Linked DNA regions of Oryctolagus cuniculus. The protein of the gene in region 1 purifies or fractionates together with the protein of each later gene. This does not show direct contact. Links are inferred from orthologs where the notes say so. Each region holds a gene or a part of one and is shown in the gene's direction. Other genes may lie near its edges.

Region 1 (3,823 bases):
GAGCACAGCTCTTAGCTCAGCTCTTTGTTTCCACTTAGATTCTCTTCAATTAAAATGTTTATTCAGTAGTCCTTGCAAATCTGCTTAATAAGGAAGCGTGAGGAAAGAGTGAGATGGACATTTATTATTTATTATGTTTTGGGGTCTTATCAGATGGCATCTCGAACTAGTCAGATTTACTTACTGTGCTTTGGGTCTTTTCACTACGGAGTAGTTTCTGAAGGCACTTCCAAAAGAAAATGGCAGGGATGCTTGCGAACAGTGGCCGCTTCTCTGGGGTAATTGTGCCTTCCAGAGTGTGGCGAGAGGCGGCCTTAGTTTGTACAAATGCTGATGCGTGGCCATCGCCCCATGTGGCCACTCCAGTTGGTTTGATGAGTACTCACTGCCCCTGTGAATTCAGAGACTCTCAAGGAAAGGGTGCTGCTCCCTTCTCTCTGAGTGGGGTGAGTTCACTGAGAACCCATAAATATCGCACCTTCCGGAGTCAAACTGCCCTTTGCAACTGACCATGCCTAATTAAATTACTGACTGGCTCTTGAGCCGTCTGATTACATCAGGTATTGTTTACCATGGTTTCCTAGATCTGGTACACCTGAAAGAAAAAACACGGTTAAAAGTGGCTTGTTCAGTAACTGTGGGTGAGAGCTGTAGGAGTCTTACGAGGAAGGACTCACAAGCATTTATCTTCATGATTAGATTTCCTGGATTTGCAAAACCTGGAATGGAACAATATTTGTTGGCCAAGCAACTAGCAAAGCCCAAAGAAAAAATTCCCATCATTGTAAGTTTGTTCATTTTTGTTTGCTTGCTTTGTAATTAAAGTTCTTTATTAAAACCGTAAAGCTAAGAGGGTTATTACTCTCTTGGAAAGTATTTTTAAACACATTAAATGTCCCCAAATAACTGATAGTATATGTTAGTATTTTAGGCATACTAAAGATAATTAGCATAAATTAATGCCTATCATTATCTTGTTTAGATATTCTTTATCTCTTGAATTAAAAGTATTGAACCGACAACACTCATAATATTCTATTAGTAATTTTTATTTTTGAAAGTATCTTGAAATTTTTTATGTTGTTTTTCTATCAGTCTATATATTTATCTAATAAACTTAATTTAAATATTTGGATTTCTACCCTTGCAAAAATACATGCATGTTATCAGAATTAGGTGCCTTTTCCAATATGTTGGAAATACTTAGTGTTTCTTCTAGTGAACAAGCAGCCAAATGATAATAAGGAGCTAGCAAATGTAGGAGTTAATGGCACTTAGCTTAGGTGACTGGGCATTTGGCGAAATGGCTAAGTCGCTCACATCCCCCATCACAGTACCTGGGTTTGATTCCTGGCTCTGGCTCCTGACTCCAGCCAACTGCTGATGCAGAGCTTGAGAGGCAGCAAGTCATGGTTCCACCCATGTGCGAGACCTTGATTGCATTCCCAGCTCCCAGCTTCAACCTCAGTGTACCCATAGCTGTTGCGGTTATTTGGGGAGTGAACTGGTAGACAGAGAATCTCTTTTTCTGCCTCTCAAATAGATTTTTTAAAAAATCTTAGAATACCTGGACTGTTATGTAACATGACATTGTTTCATACTATGACGTAGGCACTTTGGTTCACTGCATGTTTTGATTGCTGATAGATTTTCTATCTCAATGATCTCTAGCTGTATATTCCGAAACAGAATTCTAGCAGAGAGAGTCCAGGGAGCCAAGAGAAAGCGTTGGCCTGGTTCTTTGCTGGGAAGGTGTGGTAACCCTCTCTCTAGTGGAATTTGGCCCATGGGCCAGTCAAGGCTGCTTTTTGATCCCCAGTCACGGAGGGAGGTCCCCCAAGGTCTCTTTAATTCCTGCTCTGCAGCTTTAAGACAGCTTCCTGGATGTGGGCTTCATGGTTTGCTTTTAGAATCTTCTCTTTAACTCCTCATTCAGCTTCTCTGGTGCTCAGTCGCCTCCTGACCTGATAGCCTCAGGGTGACAGGTGCAAAGACAGCTCACCCTCCTGTAGGTCAGGGTGGCACTTCATCCTTCAGAGCTGATTGTGCGGAGATCTGGACTTTGGGGAAGGGTTAATAAAACCTGCTGCGGGGCTCGCTGACTTCCGTCCCTGTCCTGTTGTTGGCCTCTCGCACCTTTACCAAGAATAAGGACTGGGAGACGTCTCCCTTTCACACCTGCCTGGTTGTCTCCTTTAGCCCAGTCCATGCGGTTTTCTATGTACTTTATTCTGTGCTTCTTCCAGCTACAAGATCAAAATCTGTTTCATGAACTATTTTTGACCCTTTTTAGAACTCTGAATGGGTATATTTGCTAGAAATAATGGTCTGTTTACAGTCACTTTGTTGCTTTTCTCACCTGTTTCCTGGAAAATACCATATTTTCAATAGAATAAGGAATTCTGTTGCTTTTTATTTGTTCTTTTTTTAAAGATTTATTTATTTATTTATTTGAAAGAGTTACACAGAGGGAGAAGAGGCAGAGAGAGAGAGAGGCCTTCTATCCACTGATTCACTCCCCAATTGGCTACAACAGCTAGAGCTGAGCTGATCTGAAGCCAGGAGCCAGGGCCCTTTTTTGGGTCTCCCAGGCGGGTACAGGGGCCCAAGGACTTGGGCCATCTTCTCCTGCTTTCCCAGACCATAGCAGAGAGCTGGATTGGAAGAGGAACAGCCAGGCCTAGAATTGGCACTCATATGGGATGCCAGTGCTTCAGGTCAGGGCTTTACCCTGCTGGGCTGCAGCGCCGGCCCCTTTTTATTTGTTCTTTAATGATACTGTCCTACAGTCTCTGAAATCCATAACTGTGATCATGCTAGTTCTCTGTGTCCCCACATAGATTTTAGTTGGTTTTCATGCCTCATCCTCTCCACACCCTGCTAAAATTACTTAAATGGTCTAGTGCTGGCCTAATAAGCCTCACTTTTCAACCTTGGCCCCAGTTGTATATAGACAAGAAAGACAAGTGAAGAACAAGAGAGGCCTACCAAGTGGGCGTGATGCCTGGGACATGGAGTGTGAGCCTGCCCACTGTGCTGTGCACAAGCAGGCCAAGGAGAAAACAGCTAGCTGGCCTGATTCTTGCTGTGAGGCACATATACCACTGCCCTCCGTAGTAAAGCAGTGGACACAGGCTCTCACCAGTCTGATAAGCCATTTCTGTATTTAGGGCACAGCTACTCAAAGTTTACCAGTCTGCCATGAGATCAGTGCAGTGGGAGTGTCCTAGAAGGCTTGATGGCAACTTGAAATTATTGAGAAACCCACATGTGTAATGTTACACTTCACAAAACCGTTGGTCTATAATTGGACTTTTAAAAAGGAGTCTTTTATCACATACAGTTCGAGACACCTGGACTAGAGAGACAGACATTGTGTTCCAATCAACCAGCACTCAAGGCGGGGAGCTGGTCTCTTCTGTGCATGGACTGAGCACCCCTGGTGAGGGGCAGAAGGCTCTGTCCTGACACGGGAGTTCTTTAAACACATCTCACAGGAGTAGAGTCCACTTAGGTAGCTTCTCAGAAAGCAGCGAGAATGACCTCCCCAAGGGTTCTGAAATTCACTTCTGCTGGACTTTTGTGTAGGTTGGAGATTATGGCCCGATGTGGGTTTATCCTACCTCTACATTCGACTGTGTGGTAGCGGATCCCAGGAAAGGCTCCAAAATGTATGGTCTGAAGAGCTACATCGAGTACCAGTTAACACCCACGGTAAGTACCATCATCCAGAAAAGTTACGCCTGCCTTATTGGTGACAGCGTGCTTTTTTCTTTAGTTGGCACTGGTAACTTTTTCTTCTCTTTTCCTTATTTTGTAGAAC
Region 2 (3,823 bases), on another chromosome or scaffold:
TGGCCCCCACAGCCGGCGCGCTGCGGCCGGCGCACCGCACTGATCCGTTGGCAGGAGCCAGGTACTTCTCCTGGTCTCCCATGGGGTGCAGGGCCCAAGCACTTGGGCCATCCTCCACTGCACTCCCTGGCCACAGCAGAGAGCTGGCCTGGAAGAGGGGCAACCGGGACAGAATCTGGCGCCCCGACCAGGACTAGAACCCGGCACGCCGCAAGGCGGAGGATTAGCTTAGTGAGCCGCGGCGCCGGTGAAAGGTATCTTCTTAAAGATGGTTTCAAAACTCTCTTCCTCATCACGTTGAAATTCACTAGACTGGGTAGCAGTAGATTAGAAAACTCAGCAAGACAGAGAGGAACAGGAAGCAGGCTAAGATTGTGTGCTTTACATTTTGCATTAAGACATATATATCTTTAAAATCTGTTGGTCTTCTGTGAATTGTGTAATGCTGGCTTTGGTTATGATGCAGGTCTGAGAACCATTGGAGTCATCACCAAGTTGGATCTTATGGATGAAGGAACAGATGCCAGGGATGTTCTAGAGAACAAGCTGCTGCCTCTTCGCAGGGGTAATGTACTGTGATGTATACAGCACTTCCGTGGATGATGGGGCTGAGAAACAATTGGGAAGCCACTTAGAAGATGTGGTGTAATGCCTTTTCAATTGAGAGGAACAAGTTTATCATTAGTTATCCTTTTTATGTAGTGGCACAGTATTCAAGTGAAGATCCAAAGGGAGAACTATTCCTCAAACTAACAGAAAGAAAAGAAACAGGAAAGGGAGGGGTTTCAAGGAGGGTTATAACTATTCATCATGGGCTGCTTAAATGTACTGTTATAAGTCTGATTGCAAATACTTCAAGATGTTTGTGGAAAAACAAGTATTATGAAATATTATGTATATATTTCAGAATTTTGGGCACCAAAATGAACTTAACTTTTAATGTTCCACTTTTACACAAACTTTTTAGGTACTTTTGTATTATGTCACAACCAGTGAGAGACATATTCTGTAAAATGTGCAGAGATTTTTAAGGAGGAAAACATTATTAAGGTGATGCTAAAATAATTACCATTAGCCTATTCAATTTTGTAAATGAAAAAAATTGTTGTAAATGAACTCAGTCTTAAACTGATCTTATTTTTGTTCAGTCTGAGAGCATGGCAATTCCTAGAGGAAGCACAGAAAGAGTGCCAAACTCCATAGCTTGTGCCTTATTTCAGGTTACGTGGGGGTGGTAAACAGAAGCCAGAAGGACATAGACGGGAAGAAGGACATCAAGGCGGCCATGCTGGCAGAGAGGAAGTTTTTTCTTTCCCACCCGGCTTACAGACATATTGCTGATCGAATGGGGACCCCACACCTGCAGAAGGTCCTGAATCAGGTAAAAATGTTCTTTCAAGCAACAAGAACCTTTATTACACACAAGAGAACTATTGGAATTCATATTTCTAATTTTTAATTCACTTTTTTCCCAAACACAAGACATTTAGGTTAAATGATAGAAATTAAACAATGCTTATAGATACTTAGAGCCACACTGTTACTTTTCTTAGTGAATAAAAGTCACCTTAATATTATTGAAAGAACAATTATGAAAGCAGAAACATGTACTTGGGAACAAGGAATAGGGGATGTACATTTGAGTGTGCATTCATTCACAAAATGTAGTTACCTTAAGAAGCTGAGCTTGTGTAGATCTGTAACAGTGATCTCTAGGAATCTGCATTTAAAATACCACTCTAATGATTAGGCTAGATTTTCTGTTGAAAATGTTATCTGGTTTTGTTTAGGAATGATTTATTTTGTACTTTAAACTTTTCCAAACAGTAAATTCTATTGCCAGTCATCTCAGAAGCTTTTCCTGATAACCTGTTACCCCAAAATAAATAAATTTGGGTCTTCTGCCTCCCTTCTTCCCACCATGTACTGTGTACTTCTCTTCCTTGGTTACATATTTTCCACCCTTATTGGAGTTGTGTCATTGTCATTTGAGTTTTAATTATGTTGACTTTGTATGGTGAGCCATGTTCCTCACAAATATTCTCATAAGTTTTGCTTAAACTCTTATCTATAACTTAATCAGCCAATCTAACAGTTTCGTTCTGATTGTTAGCTTCTTGAAGGTATCAGTAGAAGCTGTCACAATATGTGACATTGTGTCTGAACCATTCAGGCAAAATAATTGAAGAAGTTTTAGAAAATAAAAACTAGTTGTATCCTTTTTTTTGTTTATGCCTTTTGTGGTATTTATAATGTCCCTTTTTATTGCTGAATAATATTCCACTTATTTTAGTTTTTTTAATTTATGAATTGTTTGTTTCTAAAATTTCCTATTTAATTTTTTATTTTCTATTTTGTGTGTTTCTATGTATAAAAATAATTCTAAAATTTCTAATTAATTTTTTGACAGATTCTATATAGCTCATAGATACAGTTCTAAGAATATAATGATATTCCATTTCTCCTTTCCTCTCTCCCTCTCACCCTCTCCCCTCCCCTTTTTTCCTTCTTTTTCACTTTTTGATAGCAAATTTTATTTTATTTTATTTATTTTTTTGACAGGCAGTGTGGACAGTGAGAGAGAGACAAAGAGAAAGGTCTTCCTTTTCCATTGGTTTACTCCCCAATGGCCGCTGCGGCTGGCATGCTGCAGCCGGCGCACCGCGCTGATCCGAAGTCAGGAGCCAGCTGCCTTCCTGGTCTCCCATGCGGGTGCAGGGCCCAAGGACCTGGGCCATCCTCCACTGCACTCTCAGGCCACAGCAGAGAGCTGGAATGGAAGAGGAGCAACTGGGACAGAATCCGGCTCCCCAACCGGGACTAAAACCCGGGGTGCCGGCGCCGCAGGCGGAGGATTAGCCTGTTGAGCCGTGCACCGGTGGCCTGATAGCAAATTTTAAATTCACATTACAATAAAAAGACTTAATGCTTCACCAAATAAAATAAAACAATAAAATACCCCTAGTCTAGTAAGAATATAGAAAATAGCTGTAAACAATAGTTGAATGGAAAAATGACCATTTCCCCCATATAATAAATTTTAAAAGTAATCACAAATCATTAAAACTATAGTGCTATAAAATTCTTAACCACTGGTTTGACAAAGGTATAAAACAAAGTTTTATAAAAGTACATTTGCAGTAAAATATACAGTAAAATATGCAGTAAATACACATAAGCATGCCTTTCTTTTTGTTTGTTTTTTTGAATTTTAGCTCTCATATATAAGAGAGGACATGTGGCATTTGTATTTCTGTGTTTGGCTTATTTTATTCAACATGATGTCCTCCAGTTGCATCCATTTTGCTTCAAAAGACAGAATTTTAGTCTTTTTTAATAGCTGAATCATATTCCATAGTGTGTGTGTGTGTATATATATATATATATATATATATACCACATTTTCTTTATCCATTCATCTTATGATGGGCACATTGGTTGATTTCAAATTTTGGCTATTTTGAACAGGGCTGCTATAAACATTGTGATGCAGGTATCTCTTGATACATTATATTCAAGTCTTTTTGCTATATTCTCAGTAGTGGGATTGCTGGATCATATGGCAAGTCTAGGTTTTTAAGAAATCTCCATACTGTTTTTCACAGTGGCTGTATTAATTTACATTCCCACCAACAGTGTATAAGTGTTCCACTTTGTCCACATCCTCGCCAGCATTTGTTATTCTCTATATTTTGGATTGTAGCCATTCTGACAGGGATGAGGTGATATCTCATTGTGGGTTTGATTTGCATTTCCCTGATGGTTAGTGATGTTGAACATTTTTTCACTTATTTGTTGGCTGTTCATATTTATTCTTTGCAGA

Evidence for each region.
Region 2: the proteins of SNX9 (region 1) and DNM3 purify together in Homo sapiens (co-immunoprecipitation; 3 studies listed by BioGRID and IntAct, counting the BioPlex papers as one, with this or other methods). This does not show direct contact. The link is inferred for Oryctolagus cuniculus from reciprocal best matches to the Homo sapiens genes SNX9 and DNM3.

The regions. Positions count from the first base shown.
Region 1 is NC_091436.1:9,789,585-9,793,407, reverse strand, and holds part of SNX9 (sorting nexin-9), read left to right. Parts: intron 1-699; coding exon 700-784; intron 785-3,588; coding exon 3,589-3,714; intron 3,715-3,820; coding exon 3,821-3,823. UniProt on the Homo sapiens protein: Involved in endocytosis and intracellular vesicle trafficking, both during interphase and at the end of mitosis. Required for efficient progress through mitosis and cytokinesis. Required for normal formation of the cleavage furrow at the end of mitosis.
Region 2 is NC_091438.1:26,455,747-26,459,569, reverse strand, and holds part of DNM3 (dynamin-3), read left to right. Parts: intron 1-466; coding exon 467-565; intron 566-1,220; coding exon 1,221-1,381; intron 1,382-3,823. UniProt on the Homo sapiens protein: Microtubule-associated force-producing protein involved in producing microtubule bundles and able to bind and hydrolyze GTP. Most probably involved in vesicular trafficking processes, in particular endocytosis.